Oryctolagus cuniculus: one gene and its partners. The protein of the gene in region 4 interacts with the protein of the main gene of each other region in a pairwise test. Links are inferred from orthologs where the notes say so. Each region holds a gene or a part of one and is shown on either strand. Other genes may lie near its edges.

Region 1 (7,858 bases), on a different chromosome or scaffold from region 4:
AACACTCACCACCCATTTCACAGGCCATACAGCAGTAACGGGGAACAGACGTGTTCCCGTAAAAACTAACAGGTACTTGCAAAAGCCCTCATCACTCTCCTGCTTTGAGGGATGCACTAAACAGCCACTCCCACGACCACACCCGGCAGCCATCCCATCTTCTCATCTCTAGCTTCCTTCAGGTGGTCAATAAACAGAAAGCAGTCATCCCTGAGCATCCAAGTGAAAACCCAGAAATCAACACACATCTTACCGTTTTAGCCAGTGTGCAGGCGAGCTCCGGGTTATTAAGGATCTCATAGTAAAATACAGAAAAGTTCAGAGCCAGCCCCAGGCGGATTGGGTGTGTGGGTTGCATCTCTTTCTTGCTTATATCAAATGCCTCTTGGTAAGCTCCTTGGGAATTATCTATCGTTTCTGTGAAGAGAAAAAAATAAAAGGCATGATCCTTTGGAAAACAGCCAGAGACCAGCACATGAGTAATTTTAACATGCTACTAGCTCCTGGCAGAGCCAGATGTTTCTGTTATCTTCCTCTGAAACCACAGTAGCAAGCTACAAACATTTATCCTGTCTTGGATATTTAAAACTAGCTCATAGTGTTGCTTGCTTATAGTCAGCTTACAGACAGTATATAGATTCTTCCATCAATGATATTAAAACTGTTTTCTTTTTCCTAGCTTTTAGATCACATTACAAAGATCACCATCACAAGAACCCCTCTATTTTTGTGACATTATTTGTGCAAACAGACGCTCTGGGTATTACGATGCTCTGGGTGAGGCAATATAAAGTGCCAATAATACAGCAAAATCTGCTTTGAGTAGCCTCCCTCAAAAAATGCTCAGGAGGGGCCAGTGCTGTGGCGCAGTGTAAAGCCACCACCTGCAGTGCTGGCATCCCATATGGGCGCTGGTTCGAGTCCTGGCTGCTCCACTTCTGATCCTGCTCTCTGCAATGGCCTGGGAGGGCAGTGGAGGATGACCCAAGTCCTTGGGCTCCTGTGCCCGAGTGGGAGACCCAGAAGAGGCTGTGGGCTCCTGGCTTCGGATCGGCTCAGCTCAGGCTATTGTGGCCATTTGGGGAGTGAACCAGCGGATAAAACACCTCTCTCTCTGTCTCTCCTTCTCTCTGTCTGTAACTATGACTGTCAAATAAATAAATTAAAAAAAAAATAATTAGGAAGCATTACCAACATGAACTTGATTATATTTGTTTTGAAAGGGTTTGTTTTCTATTTAAGGCCGTGGATCTACCCCAGCTTTTTTGAAGACAATGACATAGCAGAAATTAAGCAACCCCTTTATGACTTGACTGTGCACTTTCCCTCCTCTGAAACGGCATCATTGTTGATCTAATCACAACTCCCACAGTAAGTGGCTCTTGCTGTGGGCATCTAAGGAGGGACTACACAGAGCAGAAGCGGTCAGCTCAGCTGGAAAGACAGCTGATGGCACCCGAGGGACTGAAAGCAGGAGCTCAGAGTGCCCACGAGACAGAGGGCCGAGGTCGGCCTCAAGCCAGGAATGTCCTAGTAAGACGTCCTCTGCCTCGCTGGCACTTACACGCTCAGTTCTGTGCCAGTATTTTCACTTCCAACTCTGCTTACCTTTGTGGCAACAAAAACTCTCTATCAGTAACAGTAAATTTGTACACAAATGTTAGAGCAAGTACAGTGGTTTCCTCTTTATGGCTTCAGTCGCACTGGTATCTACTTGTGCAGCTATGTTACTGGATGGGGGCAGAACTGAGAACCAAGAACACCACAAATTCACTGGGGAAAACAATCAGAATTTCAGCAACACTTCCACCTAGAACTTGACAAATCTACTAACAGGCACATACACAAAACTTAGGATCTGTACTATGCTCAGCTCCTAATAACCCAGGAGACTTAAGTTTACTATAAATAAACTTTGATGTTCCCATAATCAAATCAGGTGATTCAATTATTCCCCCATTACATTTTCTGTAACAGTCTAAGGGTTAAAAAAAGGTATTTAATATTCAAATCTAGGGGCTGGTGCTGTGGTGTAGTGGGTAAAGCTGCTGCCAGCAGTGCTGGCATCACACATGGACGCCGGTTCAAGTCCTGGCTGCTCCACTTCCTAACCAGCTCTCTGCTGTGGCCTGGGAAAGAAGTAGAAGATGGCCCAAGTCCTTGGGCCCCTGCACCCACGTGGGAGACCTGGAAGAAGCTCCTGGATCCTGGCTTTGGATCAGCACAGATCCGGTCAGTGCAGCCAATTGGGAGAGTGAACCAGTAGATGGAAGACCTCTCTCCCTGCCTCTCTTTCTCTCTCTGTGTAACTTTCAAGTAAAATAAATAAATCTTTAAAAAAATTCAAATCTTTTTATATGACTATTACTTATCAAAGAGGTCCTGTAAAGTAAGCCCTAGTCATGTGGGTCACTCAAGCTTACTGTGACCATGGAACAAATTATTCACCGTCCAGGCATGGTTTTTCCTAAAATGTATTTTACATGAAATCTGAGATCCCTTCCATAATTCCCTGTTTTCAGTATTAAAGTACTATAGGAAGTACTGCAACACCGGGGCTGGCGCCATGGTGCAGTACGTTAATTCTCCGCCTGCAGCGCTGCCATCCCATTTGGGTGCAAAGAGACAGAGGGAGATCTTCTACCCTCTGATACACTTCCCAAAGTCTGCAACAGCCAACGCTGGGCTAGGCTGAAGACAGAAGCTTTGAATTCAATGTAGATCTCCCATATTAGGTAGCAGGGACCAAAGTACTTAGGCTATCAACACTGCCTCCCAGGATATGCAACAGCAGGAAGCTAGAATTGGAAGTGGAGTCAAAACTTGAACCCAGGGCCTGGTGTTGTGGTGTAGCGGGTAAAGACACTGACTACAACACCAGCTCCCATGTGGGCACCAGTTTGCGTCCCAGCTGCTCCACTTCCAATCCAGCTCCCTGCTACTGGCCCGGGGAAAGCAGTGGAAGATGACCCAAGTACTTGGGCTCCTGTCACTCATGAGGGAGACCCAGATGAATCTCTTGGCTCCTTGCTTTGCCCTGGTCCAGGCCGTTGTAGCCATTTGGGGAGTGACCAGCGGACAGAAACCCTCTCTCTGTAACTGACTTTCAAGTAAATAAAAAAAATCTTAGAGAGAGGGAGAGAGGAAGAAGAAAAAGAAATCTAGAACCCTGGAACTCAGGCACTCCAGAACGGAATATGAGTGTCCCAAGCAGTATCCTAACCACTGTACCAAACATTTGTGCCTATTTTCATTTTTTAAAAAGATTTATTTGAAAGACAGAGTTACAGAGAGTGGGAGTGGGAGTGGGAGTGGGAGTGGGAGAGGGAGAGGGAGAGGGAGAGGGAGAGGGAGAGAGAGGTCTCCATCGCTGGTTCACTCCCCAGATGACCACAGCTGCTGCTGCTCGGCAAGGCTGGAGCCAGGAGCCAGGAGCCAGAAACCAGGAGCGTCTTCCAGGTCTCCCACGTGGCTGCAGAGGCCCAAGGACCTGGCCCATCTTCCACTGCTTTCCCAAGTGCACAGAGTACAAGTGAGTCAGCAGCTATGTGTTGCAGGTGGCAGCGTAAGCCCTTACGTCACAACGCTGGATCCCCTACTTTTATTTTTAGAAAATAAGATAAATATTCATTTTATTGATCCATATCATTCAGAGTTTTGTTTGTTTTCAAAGTTACAAGGAGTCTGGAGACTACAGAGCACTGGAACAGTGTCCCATTTACACCAACTGCCTTTTATTTATTTTGGCTTTAGCTGAAACCAAATATACCTACGTTTTCGATCATCTCCACATGCAACTTCAGCCAGGTACCGGAAGTAATCGCCCTTCATTTTCAGATAGAAGACTTTACTCTCTGGATTAGTTGCATTGGCTATCAAATACTTATCCAACAATTCCTGGAAAAAAAAAAGATAAAAAAATTAGGCGCTAATAAAAGCTATTTAATTACAGACAAGAATTTAGAATAATCTAACTTCTGCCTTCATGTAATAGAATCCTTAACCACAATAATCCTTCACCACGTCCGCCTGGCCTTGAAGCATGTCCTTACAGCAGTGTCAGCCTGTTGCCACCGTCTCCCTGGCACATTTTAAAGAAAGCTACATCACACAAAACAGTATCCTCACAAAGGGTCTCTCCATTCACTCACCTGGTCATTCAACAAACACTTACTGACATCTGCTGGGTGTCAGGTATTTGCTGACAGCAGACACAGAGAAGCCCTAAGAGCAGAGGCCTGCCCTCAAGAAGCTCAGCCTCTGTCCATACACCACTAACTGCATGCTAAGCACAGAGAAATACAGGAACAGGACAGGAGTGAGTAGCTAGCGCTGCTGGAGACGGCCTCTGGTTCAGGCTTCCAGGGGAACAGAGATCTGACTGTCAAGAATCGACAGCAGGAGCACTCGGGGCAGAGATCAGCCTGCGCAGAATCCAGCGTGAGAACAGAGAACTAAAGAGCTCACCAGCGCACTCTGCACCCGGATGTCCATGGAATCAAGGCGATCAGAGGGCAGAGCGTCAGCAGCTGACAGCACAGCAAGACAGAATAATTCTGTCTACTCAATCTAATCAATAAATTACGGTATTTCTGTATGTCTTTTATCAGTGACACCATACAATAAGCTGTGCACTTGAGGGGCCAGCATCGTGGCATAGTGGGTTAAAGCAGCCACTTGCGGTGCACGGAATCCCATATGGGTGCTAGCTTGTGTCCCGTCTGCTCCACTTCCAATCTAGCTCCCAGCAAATGGCTTGGGAAAAGCAGAAGATGGTCCAAGCGTTTGGGCTCCTGCCACCTACACAGGAGATCCAGACAAAGCTCATGGCTTCAGCCTGGCTCAGCCCTGGCTACTACAGCCATCTGGGGAGTGAATCAATAGATGGAAGACCTCTAACTCTGATTTTCACAAAAATAAATCAATCTTTAAAAAAAAAATAAAAATAAAAAAGGACATCTGATTCAATGAGATAGCACTTCTTAGTAAGTATTTATACTTGTAGAGGCATAGGAATATCTGAGTATAAAAAGTAACAAAAGGGGCCAGTGTTGTGGCGTAGCAGGTAAAGCCACCGCCTGTATTGCTGGCATCCAATACAGGTGCCGGTTCAAGTTCCAGCTGCTCCACTTCTGATCCTACTCTCTGCTATAGCCTGGGAAAGCAATAGAAGATGGCCCAAGTCCTTGGGCCCCTGCACCTGTGTGGGAGACCTGGAAGAAACTCCTGGCTCCTGCCTTTGGATCTGCCCAGCTCTGGCTGTTGCAGCCATGGGGGAGTGAACCAGCAGATGGAAGACTTTCTTTCTCTCTCTGCCTCTGGGTAACTCTGCCTTTCAAATAAATAAATAAGTCTGGAAAAAAAAAAAGTCACAAAAGACAAAAATGAAAAGGAAGGTTGTTTATAGATATAAAATAACAAAAGTTCAAAAATGTAGTTTTAAAATCTTCTTGTCAAAGACTTATTTATTTATTTATTTGAAAGTTACAGAAAGAGAAAGAGAGAGAGTGAGTCTTCCATCTGCTGGTTCACTCCTAAGATGGCTACTAAAGTCAGAACTGGGCCATCAGGAGCCAGGAAGGAGCTTCTTCCAGGTCTCCCAATTAGGTAGTAGGAAACTAAGTACTTGGGCCACCTCCACTGCTTTCCCCAGGACATTTGCAGGGAGCTGGACTGGAAGTGAGGAGCCAGGACTCAAAACAGGTGCCTATGTCCCCGAAAACGTAGTTTTAATCCAAGAACAATCTGTTTTTTTATCTGATTGAAACAAAAGGCAATTGTTGTATTTATAACTTATTTAAAGAAAATAAACATGGGTTGGTGCTGTGGCGCATCAAATTAATGCCCTGGCCTGAAGCACCGGCATCCCATATCGGGGCTGGTTCAAGTCCCGGCTGCTCCTCTTCCTATCCACCTCTCCGCTATGGCCTGGGACAGCAGTGGAAGATAGCCCAATTATTTGGGCCCCTGCACCCACGTGGGAGACCCGGAAGAAGCTCCTGGCTTCGGACTGACGCAGCTCCGGCTATTGCAGCCAATTGGGGAGTGAACCAGTGGATGGAAGACCTCTCTCTGTCTCTATGTCTCTCTGTAACTCTGTCTTTCAAATAAATAAAATAAATGAAAGAAAAGAAAAGAAAAGAAAAGAAAAGAAAAGAAAAGAAAAGAAAAGAAAAGAAAAGAAAAGAAAAGAAAAGAAAAGAAAAGGTGCAGGGCCCAAGTACTTGGGCCATCCTCCACTGCACTCCCGGGCCACAGCAGAGAGCTGGCCTGGAAGAGGGGCAACCGGGACAGAATCCGGCGCCCCGACTGGGACTATAACTAGTATGCCGGTGCCGCAGGCGGAGGATTAGCCTATCGAGCCACGGCGCCGGCCAACAAAATCTTTTTAAAAACAAAACATCCAGCATGCTAATTCTAAATGAATTATTGTTGCATATAACAATACTAACATCACTTCAATAGCTTTTCCAAAATAATTCATTTGGTAATATTCTATAGCAGCCAACAAACTAATTTTTTAATCTTGAATGCACTTAAAAATTGATATCTATTTTACAGTCAAAATAAGCTGCTCTTTCATTAAATAGCTTATTCTTTCATATTCAGAACTGATTTAAGAAACAGTAGATAACTGCATGTGATGGCTCAAGAAGCTGGGTCCCTGCCTGCCATGTGGGAGAGCAGACTGAGCTTTGGGCTCTTGGCTTAGGCCGGAACCAGTCCTGGGCTATTGAGAGCATCTGGGGGTGAACCAGCAGATGGAAGGAAGGCAGATCTCTCTCTTGCTTTGCCTTTCAAATAAATAAAACAAAAAGTAAAAGGTATAAAATAAATATGCAATCAACACAGTTAATCTCTAACTTTAGGTTATATGAGCCACTAACCACACATTTCTAAACTTAATCAGCACATTAATATATCCTAAAAGAGATCCTGTCTAGGAGAGATAAGGTCAAACTTAAGCTAGAGATTTACCTCTAATTGATAAAACTAAACGAGAGTATTTTGTGTTTTTCAGAATAAATGGGCTTTTGAAATTAATTACCATTTGTGAAACAGATTTTTTAAAAAGATCTATTTATGTATTTGTTTGAAAGTCAGAGTCAGAGAGAGAGAGAGAGAGCGAGAGAGAGCGCTCCTCCATCTGCTGGTTCACTCCCCAGATGGCTACAGGACTGGGCCGGGATGAAGCCAGGAGCCAGGAGCTTCATCCAGATCACCCATGTGGGTGCAGGGGCCCAAGCATGTGGGCCATCTTCTCTCTTCTGCTGCTTTCCCAGGCACATTAGAGAAAGCTCGATCAGAAGCAGAGCACGCAGGACTCGAACCAGGGCCCACATGGGATGCTGGTGTTGCAGGTGGGGGCTTAATACTACACCACAGAGTCAACACTGAAGTGCCTGTTTCTGTAATTATATAATAAGAATATCAGGAAAGGCCTTCTAGTCTCAGAAATCACCATTCTACTACGAGAACACCCACTAGGGTTAACTCCCACAATGCATTTGGATTTATTGCTTTAACCAAGGAGACAAGGAATCATCTAACTTGATCCCAAGTTGGTAACATCAATTCATTTAAGAAAATATTTTCTACCATTAATAACATGAATATACCAAACAACTAATTATCTTTGCATTATTTAAAAAAATGTTACAGAGAGAGCAGCTTGAACTTAGAACCCAAGAATGATGGCACTACATTCTGTTTTCTAAAAAACAGGAGGGAGTAAAATTTTTCAAATATAGACGCAAACCTTATGACCAATGTGACTGACCCTACGAGCTGTATGATTTAGCTGATGCCACAGAGGAGACATCAAAGTTCAAACTCAAGTTTCTAGGCATATCATTAC
Region 2 (8,538 bases), on a different chromosome or scaffold from region 4:
TATAAGAGAGAGAATTGATCCTTTCTGGCATTTTATATATTTTCATTTAAAACTAATTTCTTGAAATAAGTAGGCCTTAGAGCAAATATTATAAGTTGTGACTTCCAGTGTTGTGATAAAGGCCAATGTTTTCAAGCACAGAGGGGAGAGGGGTAATAAACAAAACATTTTTTTTCCAGTTTAAGAGTAGAAATCAGCTTACAGGGTGTCAGCATAATGGTTTCTATTGATAGTTACTATTAAGTAAAAATTAAATGTTAAATATTTAACATCAAATTTCTAACCTGAGGGAAAGCTTATATGTTGTCATGTCTTGCACTTAATGGTTTTCCTTTTCAAATGTTTTAGAGATTTACATAGAACTGGAAAATATTCCTACTTTTATTTACATTCTTCCTTTCATTCATTGATGGCATTCAACAATAAAGCATCTTCATTTCAAAGAGTTCTTACCCAAAAATTAATCTACTACTCCAAGAAAAAGAGTGAAAATGGTACATTCTGTAGTTTTGAGACTTTTAAATTGTTCAACATTCTCCTTAATCTTTGAGATCCAACAGAGTATTTTCTTCTACTCTAAAGCAACTACTAAAAAGACACAATTCAGTAACACAGAAATGAATAATATAACACAGTCATGGAATATCTAGGAAAAATTACAATATGATGCACAATTAGCTTGAGTAAGATGTAACTTTGGGTTTAACTTTCAGTTTATTAAGTGCAGTGTGTACTTGTCATTCTGCAATGCCAAGCATATAGACAAACACTGTTCCACAACAAATGTTTTATGAGTTGGTAGCTATAAATAAAATATTTGCCATTTTACAAGAATCTAATATAATGCAACGTCTAATAAAATTCATGTCTCCAAATCATGCCCTGTTTTGGATTAAGTTCTGACTTTTAGGAAATACAAACTTATATTCACTAATTTGAAAGAATATATTTACAATATATATTGTATGTCCCCCACAAAAAAACTGGCATTACATCGATTAATCAATTTTAGTTATTTTAACTGAAAGTGGGCAGTTTATACCCTGTTCCTACACTACTTGGAGAACAATCAAATGTAATTGAAGCCAAGCAATTGACACTATTTATAGACATTGCTCAGAATCACCTGCTTTGTATTGATTGTCTTAAGCACCATTGTAAACTTTCAATTTTTAAGAGTCCCTTTGAAGACGTAGCAGATGTTGGCTTGCTAATAATGCTAGAAAGCATAGCGGGTTCAAAGTTACAAAAATGTTAACACATATAAAAAATAATGGTGTACTTTCCTATTAAACTTGGTTATTTTCAATTGTCAATAAACTATAATGGAGGCCTAAAGTCCATAAATATTTGCTTCTAAACCCCTAAGCTTCCATGATTTGTACATGTGTGTGTTCATGTGTGTTTGTGAAGGGGAAATGCATATCCATACTGGGAAATGTTACACACTGTACTTTTAGCATCATTACTATGGATACAGATGCGTGGTTTATAAATATTTGGGCCGCTTTTCAATATTTTCTAGTGATCTAAATTCTGTTAGAATTTAGCATTGTCACAAACACTACAAGTACAGTTTGGTGTTAGATGCAGGCGTTTGGACTTCGCCGTGTTTGGACTTCGCCATGGTTGTATGCATCGCGTTCATTCTCCACTATAACTACACAGTGATTATAAACTGTATGACCAAATGCACATGATCTCCACGATGCATGATCTGCATTTCACTTAACACAATTTCAACTTTTCAGAGTTCAGAAATCAACTCCATTTTAGGTTTTAGAAATATTGCAGTATTAAAACTGTGTTATAAAGCAAGAGTTATAATGTTAATATGCATGATAAGAATAGGCCAGAATAAGAATTATTTCTACTGTTGCTTCAGTTTCTGCTATGTTGAGAAGTCCTTATAACACTAAGGAGTAAAATAAATTCTAACATAAATTATGGAAAACCAAATGCAATATAGGAGAAAGACATCTTAAACTTAAATCTACCTAAATGTCTAGTCAATATTAACTCAGAGGTTAAAACTGGCCAATTAAGTTTAATTTCAATAATTATGCCATAAATAGATCGAGCCAGAAACTGTTGTGATGTTTCCTTTTAGTCAAACATTCTTCCAGAACGTACCATCAAAGAAAACCCTCATCTAAAGTCCCCAATGATTTTATCCTTGGTGATGGCTGAGTGTATTTCCCACTCAAGCTGTAATCTATCAATACTTTATGCGGCTGACACAAACTTGCTTTTCATGGACCCTAAATATCAGCTTCAACATGTAAAAATGAATTTTACTTTGTTATATGGCTAATTTCTCATCCATGAGAGAGGAGCTAAGGAGCATTAAAGGAGGCCAATTTTTTTTTTTTTTAAGTTTCATTGAAACAATTCGTGGGCATCAGTTCTTGTATTCCACTTTCTCTATCTGTCCCAAACAAAATCACACTTGCCCTATGAAATTCGGATTTGCCCTAAGACACTCAGGGGTACTGGGCTGAGTCAGGACGCCTGAGGAGGGAGCCCATCATCCGGCTTCTCCCGCGGAGAGTGAGAAGGGCCGCTCACTCAGAGCTTCTAGTTCTAGAAGGATGTTCTCATCAGCCCGAACCGCCTGAACTGCCACCGCTTCCACACCAACACTGATATCCAGCGCCCAGTCTGTGCAAGGGCCATTGCTGTCTAAAACTGGCCCTTGTTTATTTATTTATCTTTAAATAATGAAGATGAAAACCTTCTTGCTGGGATTAACCTTTCAACTGGTCTTAAGAGAGTTTCATTTGTAGTTAGTAAAACCCATTAAAAATGAGTGACATCGCTAGTAACTTTCTTAGATATTAACTAATTTGTGATGGGGCATTAATGGTCCACCCCTGACCCTGGAAAGTAAAAGTCGAAAGAAATCCAGCGCAGGCTAAACTGAAGAAAGATCGGTAGCATCGCTGCAAAGCAATTCCAACGCTCATTTCCATCTGCGTCCTTTATGTGGCCTAAAGCTTTACAGGAGATAGACATCTGCCAACTCTTTCAACCCACGGCTGAGATTATCTTCTGGGACTATAGACATCAATTTCGCAAAAGAAACACACGCTAAGTGTTCTATTGCGCAAATGACATCTTCCTAAAACACGAAGGAACCCAGGGTCACAACTCCCCTTCAGTGAAAAATCCTCTGAACAATTTCATCACAATGCAGGCAGGTAAGGGCTTTGCAGACCTGCCTCTGTGGTTAGATTTCCCGGGCAAGCTGCGCGTTCCGGCGCTCCCAGGGCTGTTAGGTTCCGGGCACGCAGACGAACGCCTGGTGGGTGCCCCGTTGCGCGTATCACTTTGAGCAGACAGCACTGGACCTGCCCTTGGATTCCCAGTTTTTGTCGTATTGCACTCATTGAGAGAGGAGTTGATCTTCCACCCTGAAACCTCTTCGATTCTCCCTTTGCATTGGTATCATACGAATACTACTAACTACTCCTAACAATCGTCTTTCTCCAATACTTTTCGTCATCTATTTGTTTAAAAATTTCTGACATGCTCCTTAAAAAAAAAAAAAAAAAAAAAAAAAAAACTTCTTAGACACTATCTTCCTTTCCCAAGAAAGGGAAGCATTTACCATTTAGAATAGGTTGCTATTTAAGGAATCCTGAAATCCAGAATAAATAAATAAATAACCTAAAACTTTTTTTTTTTCTCATACGCTCTGCCAAGTTCCATTCCAAGGTTCCAAATATTGTGCAACGATTTGGAAAGCCAGTTAACGATGGGAAAAAGCGAGCCATTCGGAGTCGGGAACATGCGAGGCAGAAGTCCGGGAGCCGCACCCGCACGCCCGCCCCACGGACACGCATCCCCAGGCGCACGCCCCTCCCGGCGCCGCGCCCGGCCGTCACGCCGCGCAATCGATTTCACAAACTGTCACTCGCTCCCCTTTGGTCTCAAACTTCTGGAGAAGTAGTTTGGGACCTTGGGAAGCCTAGAGCTGCCGCTGCTGGCTGCGTGTAGGTTGCGCACAAGGGTAACACTCCCCTCGCCCCCCCAAGTAACTGGGACCACAGCCGCATCTCCCAAACCTGCGCGGGCTGGACACTGCCCCAGCTTTTGCTGTGCCCCGCTGCAGCCTCCAGCGCTTGCAAACTGCCGCCCTGGCCCGACCCAGCTGCGTCTGCACTCCGGCCGAGGGTCCTTGGCGCGCACCTTACCTGAGCTGTCGCTTTTCCTCTTGCCCCCGCTTCGCTTCTCCACCTCCGCGGGTGACAGCGTCTGACGACCGTAGTCCCCCGGCGCGCAAGCGGCCCCAGTCGGGGTGCTGGAGCCCAGGCTGGAGGAGTTGGAGCACAGGACCGGCGGGCTGCTGCCCAGTTCCGGGGGCCCTCCGGAGTCCGGCTGCAGGCAGAGGCTGTGGCGCGCCGCGCTGGGCGGGGAGGACATCTGCGGGAGGTGCCAGTTGGTTTGCAGCGCCTGGTGCTGTTGCTGCTGGTGGTGGTGGTGGTGGTGATGGTGGTGGTGGTGGTGGCCCCGGTGGTGCTGGCTGGCGAACATGCCCTCTTCGTTGGGGTATCCCGCGATGATGCACGAGGACGACGAAGTGGAGAGCTCCGGGTAGGACATGTGGTCGGATCTCCCGTGCAGGGCGAGCGACGACTGAGAGAACGGGTGCAAGCCTTGCGCCGTGGCGTGCGGGCTGCGCAGGCAGCCAAAGAGCGGGTGTTCCATAGCATGCAAGTCGCGGGCTCCAGGCGGGAAGACTTCAAGACGACCGCACCAACGCTGGCACCACCAGCCTGCGGGCGCTTCTCCGTGGCAATCGTGTGGCTTCCCCCGCACCCTACGCCGCCCCTGTGTCCCCAGGCCAGAGCCGCGCGGGCTTTCCGGCAGCGCTCGTGTAATCCCTGTCCTAAACCCTCGGGCCGGTCTCCTTCACATATAAACACTGGGACCCAGAGGAGCTTCCCTCCGAGCGACTCGGATGTCAAGAGTGGGAGCGGTCGAAGCCAAAAGAAGGTGGTCCCAGAGAACTATACGCCTGGGGGGTGGGGTGGGGGGGGGAGGAAGGGCTCTGGGAGGTTATAAATAGAGTGTAACGTGAGCCGGGGGCTGGCTTAGGAGCCTGGCGCTGACCACATGCGAGCTCCTCCAGCGCGCCCGCTCAGTCTGCGCCCCGCGCTCCCAGCCCCGCTTCCCACTGCCGGCTGGACAGTCCTTCCGCGTGTCCCCGCCCGCCCGGCCCTGCCAGCAGCCCCGGGCTGCAAGCCGCGCACCAGGCGCCGGGATCCCGCCAGTCCCGGCTCCGCACCCACCCCCCAGCCCCTACCCGCGCACCATGACTTGTCAGTGCCATTTGGAAACTGTCACCCGCAGGAAAGCTTAGGGGTGCGCCCAACCCCTGGGGGAGTGAGCGCGGCTGAAAAGGGCAGAGCAGAGCCAAGTCTAGCGCACGCTGCGAGAAGTTTCTCAGACTTCGCTCGCTGCGTGCGCCCCGGGGCACAAGGCGCGCCCGGCTTTTTGCCGCCGAGGTGTGTGCGCCGGCCGGGCACCGGGCTCTGGGGTAGGGTCCAGGTGCGGAGTTGCGCAGCGCGACCCGCAAGTGGGCAGCGCTCGAGACCGAATGGACCGGGACTGGGTGCGGTGAGCCGGCGGAAAGTGCGCGGAAGCCCGCGCCCAGGCATCCCGACGTGAGCCGCCTACTGGTGCCCTGCCTTGGCGTCCCGCCCCCTGACCGTCACAGCGAAACTGGTCCCACTCCATTTCCCAGCCACCAGTCCATCTAGAGCAAGCTGTCCTGGGCCGGGAAGATTCTGAAGAGAGTTTGTCCCTGTCACATGCCACGTGCGGATTTGCACGCGTGCTCCCAGCCTCGCCCCCTCCTCCCCCAGGAGGCAACCCAGGGCCCTTGATTTTCCTCCAGAACCCCACCGCCTCTCTCCCGCTCCCACACAAACCAGCTCCTTCCACACACTCCTCCTCACTGCGCTATGGTGCCACTGATTGGGAAACCGAACACTCTGATGCGTGCCATCGGCGCTTGGGCGTTTCGGGTTTGCATCCCGCAAACAGGAAAGCATAAGTTTGGAGTCCCTGAGCGCATGCGGGCCGCTGGCTCTGTCCCGGGGGCGCACCGGGCCGCGGGGCAGCCGGCTCCCAGCTGGGCCGGTGCCGTCAGGAGCGCGCGTGCCCTCACTGCTCCCGGCCGTGCCACCAGCGGTGTTGCCCCGTTATTTTCATTGTCTCAGGTGTCCCGAGGATGGGGACCAGGTCTTTGAAGTTGTTCCTGAGATTAATGGGCACAGCAGACGGGGCTGGACATCTGGTTCGAATTAGGGGCGAGTACTGAGCCATCTCTGGGCGGTGTCCCCGACGGACGGGCAGGACCCTCGGGCCCCTGCCCGTCCCCGCGGTCCTTTGGAGGGGAGCCGCAGCGCCGCAGCTTGGCGAGAACCCTGGCATCCGCGGGAAAGATGGAATCCGTTTCCGCGGCCTGGAGGTGGGGTGCAGCGGGGGTTTGATGGGGAATTGGGAGACGTGTGAGCACTGCTGGCTTGAACGGAAATGGAGCCCTATTTGGAGGGAAATTAGTTTTGCAGACTTCGTTTAAAAAAAAAAAAAAAAACTAAAGCTTTTGTTGAGCGGCGGCTCAGCCTTCCAGTCTGGGTCTGAGCTGGAAGCGGCCGCACGCCGTGGACGGTAAGGTTTTCTGCGCCCGCGTTTCGGCATCTCCTGCGGTTCCAGACTTCCAGAGGGGGTCTTCTGCGGGTTGCACGTTTCTGGGGGTGTTCGCGCTCGCAGGGAGGCATCCAAGACTCAGAGCTTAATGATATTCCTTCCTGCCACTCCCTCCACTCTTGGGGCTTTATTAAAAAAATAATAATAGCAATAATAAAGGGGAGGTGGAGGGGGGTCTCTTCCTCCAAAACCTTCGGAATCTTCTTTGAATTTCCATTGTGTTGATGGCTCCACTGCGTGCTCCGGTAGGGAACTTGAAGTACAAAGAGCAACACAAACTACCCCCAACACCCTTAGCTACTCTCTGGGTTGTGGGTGCAAGGAGCAAGACTTTTTTTTTTTTTTTTTTTTTTTTTTTCCAAAGTGGAATTGAGGCAAGCACGTCCATGAAGGTAACCAGACACGTGGGTTTGATAGGGACGCTGGCCACCAGAAGCCTGGTGGAAAATGTCAGCCGAGAGGGACCTAGAATGCCACCCGACCCGCAGACGTGGGGCAAAGCACCCAGAAACGTCCTTCGGGTTTTCCTCGCGTTTGTTCAGCAGCTGCAAAGCCGCGCGTGCCTGCGCGCAGGGGAAGCTGCGTGGTGCAACGAGCGCACGGCCGGGAACCTGCGCAGCGCCCCAGGCTGGCTGCCTCCCCCTCGCTACGTCGGATGCTAACAGGTCCAGCGATCTCTCCACAACCTGCTGCAGTTGGCTTTGGGCACCGCGAGGCCAGAAACCTGGGAAGGAAAATTCAAAACTGTTGGAGTAAGGAGGAGGCGCTCCCCCAGGCATGCAGCTGAGGTGAAGCTAGGGAGACAGGTCCTTTAAATAAAGGGAAGACCCAGCACGCTTACCCTGGGTAGAAATACCGCAGTTCAGATCTCTTAACATAAAGCATAATACAAGGAAAATGTATTTGGGAGGAGAAAGAGTGTGACTCAAAGAAGAAAGAAATCAAAGATCGTCTTCTTACTGCAGTCTAGAATTTAATATGACTTCCTTATTTTTCTCTGAGTTTCGAAAAATATATGAATTATTCCATACCATGTTTTACATTTTCATCCTTTAAGAATATTTGGAATAAAAACAGATATATTGATTTTTATTTTCTAGGCCATGAAAAATTTTTTTCTTAAAAAATGTAATAATGACAGGGAAAAAAAAAAAAAACCTAGCATTTCCCAGAATAGTTAATTCGATGTTTGCATATATAAAATTTGATGTTGAAAGATGCCATTTTTATCTAGTTATTTCAAGAAGAATAATGCAAACTACAAAATTGGTTATAAAATTTCTATATAACAGTATGTGTGGTCTAGTAGTTATTCTGTATTTACTATATTCTTGGTTTTTCTGAAAAAAAAAAGTGCTTTATGCAAGGATTTCATACCCAGGATCACATTAAAAAGAGGTTGATAATATGAAAATGTTAATCAGGTCTTGTAGGGCACACAATCAAAATTATTTTATGGATGTACTGGGCTCTTTAAACTTGATAATGTGTGAATCCATCATTACCTTTGCCAAAATGAAATGAAATTCAACAGTAAAGGCAAATATCTTTATACAAAGCAAATTAGGACTATCTGGTTCAAAGGATAGTAGAACTTATATCAAACAATCTAAAAAGTTGACAGGTAAATTTTATTGTGATATTCATGATGATTCTTTCAAAAGTTGCCATGGACATTTGCAACATGTAGCGTGATGGGAATTAAAATGTTTAAGACTAAATATAATGAAATTCTACTTTGCATTTTACCTGATAGATAAACTTGCCTTGGTAGCATACGGCCAAAACATTTGAATTTAGCTGTGGATCACTAAGTTGAAG
Region 3 (7,858 bases), on a different chromosome or scaffold from region 4:
ACCATCACATCCTGGTCTAAAAGAGACAACTTTCTTTTCAGCAGAACACCTTTCTCCTGAACAGAGAGTAAAGGTTCTGAAGACACTCTTTTCAGACAGTCCCCTCTGGCAGACATGTCTGCTGAATTTATAGCCTGTGCTGATTGAGTACGGCTTAAGCTGCCTTTGACAGGCTCCGAAGTGACCGCTGGTATTTCTTCATTCTACAAAAACACAATAAACAAAGGTGCCACTGTTTCTGTGCTATCCTTTATCCCTCTTGCTAAAAATCTAACTGAAATGAAGTTCCAGAGCTTTATATCGCCCATTTAACTGCACTAACTTTTAATTCTAAATTCTTGGCTAGTAAATGATTTTTGCCAGTACTTAGTACTAGACATCAAACTGACTATGTTACAAAGAGGTTTAAAAGCAGTTACATTAATATAGTTGTATCTGTAAGAAACTGAAGAAACTAAAATAAACATGAAGGCCTTTCAAAAAGTTCACATAAAATGCTTATTATAAAAAATTATACGTTTCAAAACTTTTTGCACCAAAATAAACATTTTGTAATTCCATTTCCTATGAACTTTTTGCAGTCTTCTCATATAGTGTTTTACATATTCTAAGAGACTAAAAATTCTGAAATTAAAAGTTTTCTGACATATAGGTGACCTAAAATTGTGATAATAAATCTTTTACACATAAGGTTTCAGCATAAAATAAAAGGTCAGAGATAAAATCCTATTAAGTGAAAAGATTAAAAGAACTTAAGTAGAGTCTAGTATTTGAAATTTTAATACAATACTATACAGCAGTCAAAAACAACGAAACCCGGTCATTTGCAACAAGATGGAGGAATTTGGAAAACATCATGCTGAGTGAATTAAGTCAGTCCCAAAGGGACAAATATCATATGTTCTCCCTGATTGGCGACAACTAATTGAGCACCAAAGGGGAAACTTGTTGAAGTGAAATGGACACTGTGAGAAACAGTGACTTGATCAGCTCTTGTCCTGACGGTTGATGTACAATGTAATACTTTATCCATTTTAGTATTTTTTTTTGTTCTAGTACCATTGGTTGAACTCTGTAATTAACACACAATTATTCTTAGGTGTTTAAATTTTAACTGAAAAGTGATCCCTGTTAGGAATTTGGAAAACAGTATGTTGAGTGAAATAAGCCAATCCCAAAGGGACAAATACCACTTGTTCTCCTTGATAGGTGACAACTAACTGAGCACCAAAAAGGAAACCTGTTAAAGGGAAATGAACACTATGAGAAATGGTGACTTGATCAGCCCTCACCCTGACTGTTGATGAGCAACTTAATATGTTATCCCTCTTAGTATTTTTTTTGTTTGTTCTACTTAATACTTTTGGTTGAATACTGTAATCAATACACAATTCTTCTTAAGTGCTGAAACAACTGAAAAGTGATCGCTGTTAAATATAAGAGTGGGAATAAGAGAGGGAAGAGATGTGCAATTCGGGACATGCTCAAGCTGACTTACTTCAAACAGTAGAGTTGGAAACATACCAGGGGATTCGAATTCAATCCCATCAAGGTGGCATGTACCAATGCCATCTCACCAGTCCCAGTGATCAATTTCTGTTCACAATTGATCGTAATGATAGGACTAAGAACCAAAGGGATCACATAAACAAGAATAGTGTCTGCAAATACTAGCTGATAGAATCAAAAAGGGAGAGAATGGTCCAACATGGGAAGTGAGATACACAGCAGATCCATAGAATGGCAAATGTCCTAACAGCACTCTGGCCTCATAATCAGCCCTTAAGGCATGCGGATCCGGCTGAAATGCCCATGAGAGTATTTCAGGCATGGAAAGCCAAGACACTCTGGGGGAAAAAAAAAAACCTAAATGAAAGATCTCCACGAGTGAGATCCCAGTGGAAAGAATGGGTCATCAAAGAAGGAGGTACCTTTCTCTGAAGGGAGGAGAGAACTTCCACTTTGACCATGGCCTTGTCTAAAAATTATCAGAGTCAGTGAACTCAGGGGGCTTCCATAGCCTTGGCAGCTCATGACAAGAGCCTAGGGTGATTACTGATACCATAAACAAGAGTGTCAATTTGTTAAGTGAACAACAGGAGTCACTGTGCACTTACTCCTCATGTAGGATCTTTGTCCTTAGTGTGCTGTACATTGAGATTTAATGCTATAACTAGTACTCAAATAGTATTTTTCACTTTATGTTTCTGTGCAGGAGCAAACTGTTGAAATCTTTACTTAATGTATGCTAAACTGATCTTCTGTATATAAAGAGAATCGAAAATGAATCTTGACATGAATGGAAGGGGAGAGGGAGTGGGAAAGGGGAGGGGTGCGGGTTGGAGGGACGTTATGGGGGGGAAGTTATTGTAATCAATATTCTGTACTTTGGAAATTTATATTCATTAAATAAAAGTTAAAAAAAATCAAAAAAAAAAGAAATTTTAAAAGTGAATATTTACTTGGTGCTAAAACCATGACAAGCTTTTCTCACCCCTTACCTGTTGTGGGCTGAGCTCACTGGGGGATTGAGATTCTCCCATTACCACAGGGAAAACAAAAGGTTTGTTTTTAACACATGGTAATGAACTCCAGGAAGACTCCTTTAGGTCTTCTTTTAAGTTTTCAGGTGATAACAAATCACACAAAATCTGTAAGAGAAATATTACAAAAGTAGTAGAAAATGTGAAATTTTGGGTTAAGGATAATTTAATATAAATTTACCTAAGAGGGATTTTGAGATTGCTTGGTGGGGCTGGAGTGGTGGCACAGCAGGTTAAACAACCACCTGCAACACCAGCATCCCATAGGAGACCGGTTTGAGTCCCAGCTGCGTTACTTCTGATCCAGCTCCTTGCTAATGCACCTGGGAAAGCAGCAGAGGGTGGCCCAAGTGCTTGGGCCTGTGCACCCATGTGGGCGACCTAGAAAAGGCTCCTGGATCTTGGCTTTGGGAGTGAACCAGTGGATGGAAGACCTCTCTGTTCCTTCTCTCTCCCCAACTCTGTAACTATGCCTTTCGATTAAATAAAAATAAATCTTAAACAAAAGATTTTTAAGATTTTTTTCTAGACATTATTTTAATAAGCAGAGGAGAAGAACTGGTTAGGTAATAAAACAAATTAAAAATTTTTATGAAACCAAAGTATACCTCAATGGGGATCAAATAACCTCAAAGAAATGATTCAAGACTTTGAAGGGAACCAGGGACTGGTTAGGTGACTGAGAAGGTAACTGAGGAAAAGGCAGACCTTTTAATACAAGGATTATAAGAAGAAGGATCTTATGTGATGTCAAAAAGGTTCATCTCTGAATATCTGTGAGCCATATCCTAGTCAAAACAGTTCATGGCTCATAGCAATGCAGATTTTAAAGTTGGAATTAGACTACTTATGTGAACTAGAGAACCTGGACCTCTAACTATAGAATTCTGAAATTCCCTATACTTACATTAGCTTCTCACTGACAACTAACCTATGCGGCAATCACCACATAGCAGCTGCTCTGTAACAGTAGGAGTTTAACTAGGCCACAGCTGCGGAATCACAATTTCTGGATGTCTAAATCAGAAATAAATCTGAACTCTCAAAGAGAAGGGGCAAGTTAACATGGGGGAAGACCCTGGCTAGAAAGACTATGAGAAAGGTTCTGATCTTTTTCTGGCTGTCAAACAAGCTGCAGAGCATTTCGTAATGTCTAAATTTGGAGGTCTCATTTTTCAGCTGTATACTCTCTCAAATACACAAGAATCAGAGTAATTCACAAATCATTATGAAAGGAAATATACACAACAGAAATAAAATTGTACAAATAAACAAATATTTAATATTTATTTATTTTACATTTCCTTTGATGTCAAAAAAAAAATGTCAAACACAAACCTACCCTATAACCCTGCAACTCCACTCCTAGGAATTTACCAAAGAGATGTAAAAACACATGTGCACAAAATTAATTGTACAGGAATGTTCATAACAGCTTTATTCAAAATTATTTTAAAAACAAAACAAAATAATCCAGACACAAATCACTACTAACTGAATACCACATCATGGTCTGTTCATATAATGAAATATACAGTCACTAACAAAAAGAAAAAAATTACAGGATGTATTTTTAAAATAGTTAAGCAAAAAGAAGAAAGCCACAGACAAAAAGAGTACACACTAGATGATCCCATTCATATCTCTAGAATAGGAAAACTACTCTATGGTGATAGAAATGTAACAGTAGTTTCCTCTGGGAGCAAGATGATGGAAGATTTACTGGGAAGGAGATGAAAGCATGCTTTAGGGTGACAGAAACATCCTTTATTTTGACTGGAATGCTATTAACACAAGTACATTCATTTTCTCAAAACTCAACAAACTATATAGAATCTATGTGTTTTATTACATGTAAATTATACCACAATTTACAAAAAGCATATGGAGAAAAACAAAATATTGTAAAGCATCTTTGCTGGGATCTGAGAAAAATGTTCTCCTATTTTAAGGTACATATGGATCTCTTGGAATGCTTATTATGATGCCTCCATTCCAGAGATGATGATTCCAAAGGCCTATGACTAGGGGAATGTTCAACATGCACTCCAGGCAATTTTGACAAAAACCCAGAAACACGACCAAGGTGACAAATCACATGGCCTGTTTTGAGAAGATTGAGGAGAGCACCAGCACAGGGAACCTGAACTTTTATTAGGGTTGATTTTCTCAAAGAATTTTTTTTTCAAGATTTATTTATTTGAAAGGCAGAGTTAGAGAGAGAGAAAGAGAGAGAGGTCTTCTATCCACTGGTTCATTCCCCAAATGGCCACAACAGCCAGGGCTGGGCCAGGCCAAAGCCAGGAGCCTGGAGCTCCATCCAGGCCTCCTATGTAGGTGGCAGAGGCCCAAGGACTTGGGCCATCTTCTGCTGGTTTCCCAGGGGCATCAGCAGGGAACTGGATCAGAAGTGGAGCAGCCGGGACTCGAACCTGCATCCATAAGGGATACCCGTGAAGCAGGTGATGGTTTATCCCGCTACGCCACAGCGTCGGCCCTCAAAGAATTTTTTAAAGACTACTCTCACTAGATGATCTGTGCTGAAGGCTATTTTTTTTTCATGCTAGCATATCAAAAGGCCCTAAAAAGTTCTGAAGAAACTTGTTAAATTTGTATTAACCAAATATTTCCCAAAGTCATTTGATCAGAAACCCCTCTTCCCTCTTCTTTTTTCTTCTCTTTAATTAACACCTACTAACACACCACAGGCAGCACACATGTTAGAAAATGATATATGGAGCATTAAGAAAAATAAGGCAAAACAAGTTGGGGCAATACTATTGGCAGCATGGAAAGAAAGCCAAGCTCAGAGCCCAAGCCAAAGACACAGGCCAGGTTAATAGAGTCCTGAGCAGAACATCAGGACAGCAGTTTTTAATTAAAAACCTCAGTCTGGTGTGGACTGGATAAATTATTAGGGAATGTCTAAATTAACTAAGCAAAAATATTGCACCAAAATATCTGTGAATGAAATGTTCTGATTTCATCCAATAACTTAATACACTAAGCATTCAAACATGAAAACCTCTCAAATTGCTCTGAAGTTAGATTATTCACTTATAGTAACTTTCCAATTAGTATTTTAAAAAAAGATCTGTGTTTTAGCCCTGCCTGGAAACATTATGGTTGGTAAACTGATTACCTTTTCTACTTGCAGCTTTGCAGGTGCAAAATCTTCATCAAGGGCTAAGCACTGAAGAAACAGCTGTAAGGCATCACCTAAGAAGCCAGCATCATGGAGTACCTTTCCTTTCCTGAAGTAAACCTTCAATGGAAGCACACAAACAAAACCTTTATGGATGAAACTGATTTTCAGGAAAATCATTATCAAGAAAAGAAAAACAAATAACATGCTCAAAAATGCTGATTTTGGAATTAAATAACCTTGAGGAGGTCAAAGCCTAATCATAAACATAATCTGTTTACTTATTTTCCTTTTTATTTAACTGCAAAGGCACATCTACCCATTACCCTGGAGAAGCACCATCAGGGAAACTGAGGCCCAGACAACGACCCGACCAAAGTTCCACAGCAAGTCAGGGCTCAGCAAGACCATAAACACTATGTTCCCTCCCCTTAAAAAAACTGCTTATTTAATGATTATTGATTTAATAATAATTGTTTGAGGGAGCAAAAGAAATACAATACAGAATTATACTTATTTTAAGATGCATCAAAATTTTTCCTTTATTTTTTATTTTTTATTATAGGAATTCAACATGCTCCATGACAAAAACTGGAACCTTATTTAGATCACTGATAAACAAAAATTCAGTGTGTGAGTCAGTCTACCAATAAAGTGTCAACTGGCAAGCTTTAAATGTGCCTAGTCTACAGAATTTGAATGGAGAGGTTTACAAACCACAGAGTTGTGTTAAATAACATCAGAGAGGCCTAAAATATATTCTTGTCAAATAGTAATTTTAGCTACCATTTAAATAACTGAAGAAAATCACATTTCTGGTATCACTTCAATAGTAAGTCTCGAAGTTTCTTTCCTTTTAAACAGTTTTAAAACTATACACACAAACCACTGCAGTTTCATTCTTAATACATATGTGACTGTATCAACAGTCACATCATCATGGGATTGTTGTATCCATTTCCTTATTAATTTATAATTTTTAAGGCATCCTTATTACACTGTCCTTAATGGCACAGCTCTGAGTTATAGGAAAAAAACACATAAAATAACTTCTAGCTTAAACAACACACATGGGAGGGAGACAGATTGCCTTTGCAGTTAAATAAAAAGGAAAATTAGTAAACAGATTATGTTATACACATTTCTTTAGTTCTTTTTAAAACTGCCTAATCACCCCCTTGCTATTATAATGACAATTTTCCAGCCTCAAAGATTTACCTTTTTCCATAATTAACCTCCTTGATCCAAACTTCCTAGTCCAGACTGTATCTGCCTTCACAAAATGGCAAGTTATTTCTTTGCTGAAAATTTTTTTCTTTTTTTTTAAATTTTATTTAAGGTATACATATTTCATATATTTCCTATATACAGATGCAGGAATATAATGATACTTCCCACTCTATTTTCCCTCCCAACCACACTCCCACCCTCCTCCATCTCCTATTTCCATTCTTAATTTTTATGAAGATCTATTTTCAGTTAACTTTATACTCATAAGATTAACCCTACACTAAGTAAAAAGTTCAACAACTGATATGAAGAAAAAAAAAACCACTGTTTCTCAACAGTCCAGACAAGGGCTATTAAAAATCATGGAATCTCAGATCGGTGCCATGGCTCACTAGGCTAATCCTCTGCCTGCAGCACCGGCACCTTGGGTTCTAGTCCCGGTTGGGGTGCCAGGTACTACTAGTCCCACTTCCTCCTCTTCCAGTCCAGCTCTCTGCTGTGGCCCAGGAAGGCAGTGGAGAATGGCCCAAGTGCTTGGGCCCTGCACCCGCATGGGAGTCCAGGAGGAGGCGCCTGGCTCCTGGCTTCAGATCGGTGCAGCAAGCCAGCCATGGCAGCCACTTGGGGGGTGAACCAATGGAAGGAAGATCTTTCTCTCTCTCTCTCTCTCTCTCTCACCAACTCTGCCTGTCAAAAAAAAAAAAAAAAATCATGGAATCTCAAAATGTCAATTTCACACCCACAGATTACCTTTTAGGTAGTCTGTTGAAAAATTTTAATGCCTCTCTTGTTTTTCCTGTGCCATGAATTCAGTGTGTTCCTCAGTTTGACACAATGGTTTCTTCTAATTCAAAAAATTGTCAGATTATATCATCCATTTAAGAACTGACTCCAGATTTCTAGAATGTTATGATTTTTGCTTAAAGCAAAATATCTGTTT
Region 4 (7,858 bases):
CTAGATTTATTAGCCCACTGAAACAAGTGAGAGCATCAATTATTATAGGCCTTGGGCTCATGTTAGGTGACAACATGGGTATTCGAACACCTGCTGTGTTCTGGGGGCTGCTCTCAGTCCTTACAGCTATGACACTCAGGGTCAATCCTCTGAAGAGGCTCTGCCGTGTGGGCACTCACCGCATCACCAGGAAGGGGGCAGAGAGAGGTTGACTGCCCTACCCGAGGTCACCCAGCTCAGGGCTGGTGGCGGCAGGTGCAGAACCCTGTGCTGCCTCTCTGACCACCAAGGTGGAGAAGCCGAGCTGGCTCTCAACCTATCCGCTCTTCCTTTCAGCTCCAAGACCGCCCTGCGCATCGGGAGCAGCGACACCCAGGTGGATGACCTGAAGTCGATGCCAGCCAACAGCCACCTGGTGGACCATCTCACCTGCCCCATGTGCAACCGGCTGCGCCTGCACTCCTTCATGCTGCCCTGCAACCACAGCCTGTGCGAGAAGTGCCTGCGGCAGCTGCAGAAGCACGCCGAGGTGACGGAGAACTTCTTCATCCTCATCTGTCCGGTGTGCAACCGCTCGCACTGCATGCCCTACAGCAACAAAATGCAACTGCCCGAGAACTACCTGCGCGGCCGCCTCACCAAGCGCTACATGCAGCAGCACGGCTACCTCAAGTGGCGCTTCGACCGCTCCTCCGGGCCCATCCTCTGCCAGGTCTGCCGCAAACGGCGCATCGCCTACAAGCGCTGCATCACCTGTCGCCTCAACCTGTGCAACGAATGCCTCAAGGCCTTCCACTCAGACGTGGCCATGCAGGACCACGTCTTCGTGGACACCAGCCCCGAGGACCAGGACGAGAAGGTCTGCATCCACCACCCGTCCAGCCGCATCAACGAGTACTGCCGCAACGACAATGAGCTACTCTGCACCTTCTGCAAGATCGCCTTCCACAGCGGCCATGACACCGTCGGCCTCATCGACGCCTGCTCGGAGAGGGCGGCCGCGCTCTTCAGCGCCATCGCCAAGTTCAAAGCAGGTCCTGCTGGTTCCCGCCCCACCTCACCTCCCCGACTCCCACCCCCACCCCGGGCAAGGCGGTTGGGGCGGTCTGTTTCGTGAGAGCCACTAGGTGGCGCCGCGGGAACTCCGGCAAGCGCCGGGCTGGGGTGGGTGGTTGGCCTGGCGCTGCACCTGGCACTGGCCGCCCCGCGCGCATGGCTTATCTCACCATGGCGGGAGCAATGAGGAGCATGGACAGGGCTTCTTCCTCCTCCCCTTTACCTGCTGTGTGACTGGCTGAGCCAGAGTTCCCTCATCCATCAATGGGAACAATGTCTTCTACGGAAGGTATATATGTAACATAAGACCTGTATATACATTTGGCCCATAATCTAATATATGGGTCTTGTTCATAATAAATGCTTACTAAATAATTTCTAGTTTCTAATTTTAGCTGTATAACAGGTCTTCAAAAAGATCATGGAAATGCATGTTATGAAAAACTATGCATGATTTTAATTCTTGGCACCAAAATAAACACACCTTTGCATTCCACGTTTCTGTGAGCTTTTTGAAACATCCTCACAGGTTTCAGAAGGCCTGAAGGAGACCTTGATTAGATCTTGCGCTAAGGTCAGCTCCAGCAAAGCTGTCCTGTTCATCAGGTTTGTGGGTAGAGATGTCTCTGAGAGCCTTCCTCTTGCATTCCCCCTCTCCTCGCATAGTCCCTTTCACCTCCTTTAAGAAATCTCCATCCTACACCCCCACCCCACCCCGGGCCTTTGCCTTACCCAAATTCACTAATGCCTAATACAGTCAGGAATTTCTTGTGCAAGTATCCTTGGCAGAGGGCACCTCTTGAATAGCAAGGAAGTTACTGCATGAAGTGGGATTTCTGTTGCCATCAGCCACAGTCAGGCTAGCATTTGGGAAAGGCGAGGATGCCTCTCAGCACTGCGGAATCACAGCCTAGGAGTCTCCTCTCCAGTCCTTACTCTGCTTCTTCCTTTCTGGGCCATGTGAGGAAGGAATTGGAGGCTACAGGGAGAGGCCAGACAATGGCGCTGCTGCTGTTCACATGGAGAAATCAGAAAACAGGAAAGAACGTCTTTCTCTCAGCAAACGCCTTTGGATCCCCTCTAGCCACTCTGGTCGTGAGGATAGCCCAAGGCACTGGGGTCCCTCTCCTCATGGTCTGGCTGTAGGGTTTCTCTGACTCAGATGCTCACCACCCACAGCAATCCAGGCTCCTGTGACCCAGGATGTTGTTTAGAACCAAGTACAAAAATACACAGGCACCTGCCACTCCTTTTTTTGATGGAGATCAGAACCAATGCACTGTGGTGTTGGCCTCTTATGCGGGGGAGGGCTTTCCTGTAGTATAGGTGAAAGATGGCTGGCATGCTCCCACTTGCTAGTTAGGCCCTAACAACAGTGTTCATCTCACAGAGACGTGCCACAGGCTCACCCTGCAACAGCACCCTCCAGCCATCGTATGGTTGGGTTTGTGAGTGCCTTGAGCATAAGTACACTTCATACTCATGTCTGTATTCCTAGTGCCCGGAAAGGCCTGCGGTGTGCAGCACGGCTCTGGGGAATGTTTGCTGAATGACTAACTGTGTGAACTTAAAATTGAAGTGCCATGGGACAGGGTGCAGGATGGATTGGTTCCCCGTGGAGTGTGACTGCAGACGCTTTCTTGAAAGGGAGAGGCGAAAAGACAGGAGAGGGAACAGCGCTGACCACGAGAGAGACAAAGGCTGCTATGCAGGACCACGGGTGTGCAAGAGGGCCCCCATGAGGGAACACTTTGCCGATTTCCCACTGCTGTCTGAGGCTGGATTCTGGGTGAATGAGGCAAGGCAGCATGTAGAAGGGGTCATCAGTAATGTACTTCTGTCTTCCACCACTGCAAAAGCCCACCTTCCTGCAGGAAAAACAGGGCCCTGGCCTAGATGACTTTGCCTCTTCTCAAGTCCAGCCTGCAGACAGGGCAAGTGTGGCAGGAACCAGAGGGATTGCCTTCACCAGCTGGGGCTAGGTCAGGGAGGACGGCTCCTGACACCTGGGGGAGGTGAGAGGGAGGGGCGTTCTGAGGGAGGCCACGTTCAGCCCAGCTGGGGGTGCCTGCCCTCCGTCCACTCACTCCCTCGGAGGCCAGTGCCGTTTAAGGGTTTGCTGTGGCTTTGGCATCTGGGGAGAGGAAGCTTCTAACAGTAAGCAACTTGGTTGTTTTGCAGTCCGATATGAAATCGATAATGACCTCATGGAGTTCAACATTCTGAAAAACAGTTTTAAAGCGGATAAGGAGGCAAAGCGGAAAGAGATCAGAAGCGGGTTTCTGAAGCTGCGCAGCATTCTGCAGGAGAAAGAGAAGAGCATCATGGAGCAGATCGAGAATCTAGAAGTGTCCAGGCAGAAGGAGATCGAGAAGTACGTCCACGTCACCACCCTGAAGGTGAACGAGATGGATGGCCTGATAGCCTACTCCAAGGAAGCCCTGAAGGAGACGGGCCAAGTGGCCTTCTTACAGTCGGCCAAGATCCTGGTGGACCAGATCGAGGACGGCATCCAGAGCACCTACCGGCCCGACCCACACCTGCGGCTGCACTCCATGCACTGCATGCCCTTGGACTTCGCCGAGCTCTCCAGCGCCATTCACGAGCTCTTCCCCACGGGACCCAAGAAGGTGTGTTCCTCCGGAGACTCACTGCCCACCCCCTACCCCATGCACTCGGAGATGATGATCGCCAGGAAGGTCACGTTCAGCACCCACAGCTTCGGCAACCAACAGATATACCAGCGGAGCTCCTCCTTGCTGTCCTTCAGCGCCGCTGGTGAGAAGGCCAAGGGGGGTCTGGAGGCCTACGGGAGGACCCAGTCGGCCGCGCCTGCCAAGCCCCCCGATGGGCTGTACACCTACTGGAGTGCCACAGCCGACAGCCAGCCTGCACAGAACTGCAACAGCTTCCACAACTGGTACTCGTTCAACGACACCTCTGTGAAAACCCCAGGCCCAATTGTTATCTACCAGACTCTGGTGTATCCAAGAGCCGCTAAGGTAAAAAAAAAAAAAAAAAAAAAAAAAAGGCTCTGGGCCCTGTGGGGAAGGTGGGAGGTTGTGGGGTCCAGAGTGGAGGTGGGTAAGCAGGGGAGGTTGTTTGACCTCTGGGTTCTGGCTACTCAGACCTGCTTCTCTCGTGTCTTTGGGGGTCAGCCTGTTCAAAAGGATTGAGTTCTGAAATCTTAAATAACCCAAGGTTGGCTTAAACCAAAGAGTCAAGGTATATTTAAAGCATGGCCGGAAATAAAACTGAGAGCCTGACCCCCACTCCCAGGCAGTTTCTCTACTGACAGAGAACTCCTGTTGGGAACCAGAGTAGTTTAAGGCGACGGCTGGCAGAAGGTGGTATTACCTGAGGGATGGTCTGTTACAGGGCACAGAAATGGGAATCAGGAATGCAGGCCCCTTTGCCCATGAACTTGGGTATTTCAAATTGGCTGCCTTTCCTAAAGAAACTATCATTGTTGTTATTGATTATTCTTATTAGAAGAATACTGGATATTCCAATATTGAAAAATCTAATAATCTTATTGGAAGAATAATCACCAACGGAATGCCAGTTCTTATCTCCTGAGATCTATCCTTGTTTGCAGAGCGGGGGTGGGGCTAGAGAGTGGGGTGTCTCACAGATCTCTACAACTGCCACCAGTGGGCCTCATGGGAATGACACCCTCAACCCAACATGGACAAGCGTCACGTGCCTTTCAAATATGCTTGTAGGATACTTTATTAAGCCCCATGGAAGCAAGAGATGAATATGTGACTCAGTACTGGACAGAGGTGTATCTTGCCTCCTCCTGAGCTTCATCACAGGCACCTCCCAGGCCAGCCTGTGTGGCTGAGCCCATCTCTTGCCCAATTCTCTGAGATACTCTCAAAGACTCTGGGCTTCCTTGACATCTGAACCAAGGCTTCTCAACACTCCCGTGTGCCCGGGGATGTTGTTAAAGCACAGACTCTGCTTCACTGGTTGCAGGGGGGCCTGACACATACCACTGTGTTTCTCACAAGCGTCCAGGTGTTGCCACTGCTGCCATCTGCAGCCCATACTGCAATATTGGGTTATCTAAATGGAGGAAAGTGAAGGTCTGCCACAGACCAGGCATCAATAAATAAAACATGTATTATGAAAAAGCGATGCATGGATTTCAAAATACTTTGCAACAGAATAGACATCTTTCATTCCATTTTCCATGAAGTTTTTGAAATTCCATTGTGAGTTTCAACACGCAGATTATGATGTCTCAGAAGTACGGAAAAGTACAAGGGGACTTCAAACAGAGAAATGAGAAGATTGAAGTTTATTTTGCTGCAAAAAAATTTGAAATCTGTGCAGTTTTTTCATAATGTCCATTTCCCATGGAGGTTTTGAAGACCTCTCGGATGACTGACACTAAGAATGACCACATTATGTAACATTATGTAACATGGCCTCCCATGGCCTAGAGACATGGTAGTCCCCACCCTTCACAGGAGGGACGCCCATCACTCAGCAGCCGAACTCATCTCCAAGGGCTACTGCATGAGCAAGACCTACAGTGTATGCGCCATTGGGTAGGCAGTGGGTGTCACCTGCACATTCACTCAGACCTCTTGCAAAATTGGCAGGAGTTTAGCCTGCGGTGTAAGTACTGGTGGTCCCTGCTCCATAACTGGGCTTGGGGAACAGTCACCCCACGCCACCTATTGGTCATCCCCAGGGAAGCTCCAGAAATGGGCTTCCATAGAACAACCAGGCAAGGGTGGCAGTGGAGAGAGAGATCACCTAAACCTGCCACCAGACAATGGCAGTCCTTGTGAAGCCATCACTGATCCGTATTTTAGGGCCACAGAATGGACTTTGCACAGGCATCATAGTGTTGTGTCACACAGGAGATTAAATCTCTGTTAACATCTCTGTCAAATCTTTAGAACATTGGCATCAGAAATATTCTTTTTTTTTAACTTTTATTTAATGAATATAAATTTCCAAAGTACAGCTTATGGATTGCAATGGCTCCCCCCTCCATAACTTCCCTCCCACCCGCAACCCTCCCCTTTCCCTCTCCATCCCCCCTTCCATTCACATCAAGATTCAGTTTCAATTCTCTTTATATACAGAAGATCAGTTTAGCATATATTAAGTAAAGATTTCAACAGTTTGCTCCCACACAGAAACATAAAGTGAAAAATACTGTTTGAGTACTAGTTATAGCATTAAATCACAATGTACAGCACATTAAGGACAGAGATCCTACATGAGGAGTAAGTGCACAGTGATATTCTTAAAGTTCATCTTATAATTTGTTAATATGTTTTGTTAAAAATCCTAGAGGTTTTTTTAACTCTAGAAACCCTTTCAAAGGAAATGATTAAAAATGTAGATGAATTTTCGTGCATGAAAGTGTTCGTTGCCACATTTATTTGAGTATAAAATTAGAAACAATCTAAATGTTCGACTAGATAAAGATTAAATTATTTATAGGGCAGTTTTCAGAGATGGTGCTTTACTGAATTTTTAATGATATAGAAAAATATATAAAATATAGTAAGTGAAAAAAGCAATATTTGAAGCAACATAATCCATATTACATGTATTTGTGCTTGTATTTCAAAATTAAAAGGAAATAATAATGAATTAACTAGATTGTGAGATTATTTGTGATGTTCACTTTTTCCCTTACACTTTTTCTGTATTTTCCAAGTGTGTCATTGATGAGTATGTTTGTTCTGATAACCAAAAAAAAAAAAAAAAAAGTAAGTTCATTTCTGCTGCTTTACAAATTGATTTGGCAGGTACCACCTACTGATTGACACTTGAGTCTTTTCCCAGGAGTTGGTATTTTATGCTTTGAGAGTGAACACAGATTCTCCATTATTGGAAAAGTCTTTTTTTTTTTTTTTTTTTTTTTTTTTGACAGGCAGAGTTAGACAGTGAGAGAGAGAGACAGAGAGAAAGGTCCTCCCTTTTCCATTGGTTCACCCTCAAGTGTCCGCCACGGCCAGTGCGTTGCAGCCAGCACGCTACACTGATCCAAAGCCAGGAGCCAGGTGCTTCTCCTGGTCTCCCATGGGGTGCAGAGCCCAAGGACCTGGGCCATCCTCTACTGCACTCCCGGGCCACAGCAGAGAGCTGGCCTGGAAGAGGAGCAACTGGGACAGAACCGGCGCCCCGACCGGGACTAGAACCTGGTGTGCCGGCGCCACACGCGGAGGATTAGCCTAGTGAGTCGCGGCACAGGCCGGAAAAGTCATTTTAATGTCTCTGGATTCTATTTCCTTGTGTATAATATAAAGGGTTGGAATAGGTAAACGTCTCATCTTCTAGTATTCTGTTTTTCCAGTAAAGTCTACTAATCTTTCTGGGCCTACAAAATGGAATCACACAGAGTCTATCTTCCAGGGCATTGCCAGGACTAAATGAGGTAGGGGTGGCAGCTCCTGACAGAATCTGGTCTTCAATAAATAGTAGCTGCTTCATTAGTGGTGTCAGGAGAACATCAGCCAGCCACACAGCACTCTTTGGTCCTTGAAAGCTGATACAAGAACCACGTCAGCCCTCATCACACAGCCTGCCAAGGCTGTTGCACAGGACCTAGCTCAAAGTCCCCCGCATACAGGGGGCGGAGTCAGCTCCAGCTCACCACAGGACAGCCAGCAGCAGTGTTCCCGCCAAGGGCAGGCTGGTGTCACCTGATGCATTCATTTCTTCTGTAGGTTTACTGGACGTGCCCCACAGAAGACGTGGACTCTTTCGAGATGGAATTCTACGAACTCGTTACGACCCCGCCTAACAACGTGCGCACAGAGCTCTGTGG

The links.
Region 1: the proteins of TRIM42 (region 4) and YWHAQ interact in binary tests that used the Homo sapiens proteins (3 or more experiments, as listed by UniProt). The two-hybrid records come from large-scale screens. The link is inferred for Oryctolagus cuniculus from reciprocal best matches to the Homo sapiens genes TRIM42 and YWHAQ.
Region 2: the proteins of TRIM42 (region 4) and MEOX2 interact in binary tests that used the Homo sapiens proteins (3 or more experiments, as listed by UniProt). The two-hybrid records come from large-scale screens. The link is inferred for Oryctolagus cuniculus from reciprocal best matches to the Homo sapiens genes TRIM42 and MEOX2.
Region 3: the proteins of TRIM42 (region 4) and LONRF1 interact in binary tests that used the Homo sapiens proteins (3 or more experiments, as listed by UniProt). The two-hybrid records come from large-scale screens. The link is inferred for Oryctolagus cuniculus from reciprocal best matches to the Homo sapiens genes TRIM42 and LONRF1.

The regions. Positions count from the first base shown.
Region 1 is NC_091433.1:192,531,614-192,539,471, reverse strand, and holds part of YWHAQ (14-3-3 protein theta), read right to left. Parts: intron 3,898-7,858; coding exon 3,774-3,897; intron 418-3,773; coding exon 254-417; intron 1-253. UniProt on the Homo sapiens protein: Adapter protein implicated in the regulation of a large spectrum of both general and specialized signaling pathways. Binds to a large number of partners, usually by recognition of a phosphoserine or phosphothreonine motif.
Region 2 is NC_091447.1:7,287,378-7,295,915, forward strand, and holds the start of MEOX2 (homeobox protein MOX-2), read right to left. Parts: upstream 4,999-8,538; 5' UTR 4,711-4,998; coding exon 4,197-4,710; intron 1-4,196. UniProt on the Homo sapiens protein: Mesodermal transcription factor that plays a key role in somitogenesis and somitogenesis and limb muscle differentiation. Required during limb development for normal appendicular muscle formation and for the normal regulation of myogenic genes.
Region 3 is NC_091433.1:78,005,059-78,012,916, reverse strand, and holds part of LONRF1 (LON peptidase N-terminal domain and RING finger protein 1), read right to left. Parts: intron 5,809-7,858; coding exon 5,686-5,808; intron 2,652-5,685; coding exon 2,502-2,651; intron 204-2,501; coding exon 1-203.
Region 4 is NC_091435.1:141,096,311-141,104,168, reverse strand, and holds part of TRIM42 (tripartite motif-containing protein 42), read left to right. Parts: intron 1-336; coding exon 337-1,034; intron 1,035-3,237; coding exon 3,238-4,058; intron 4,059-7,757; coding exon 7,758-7,858.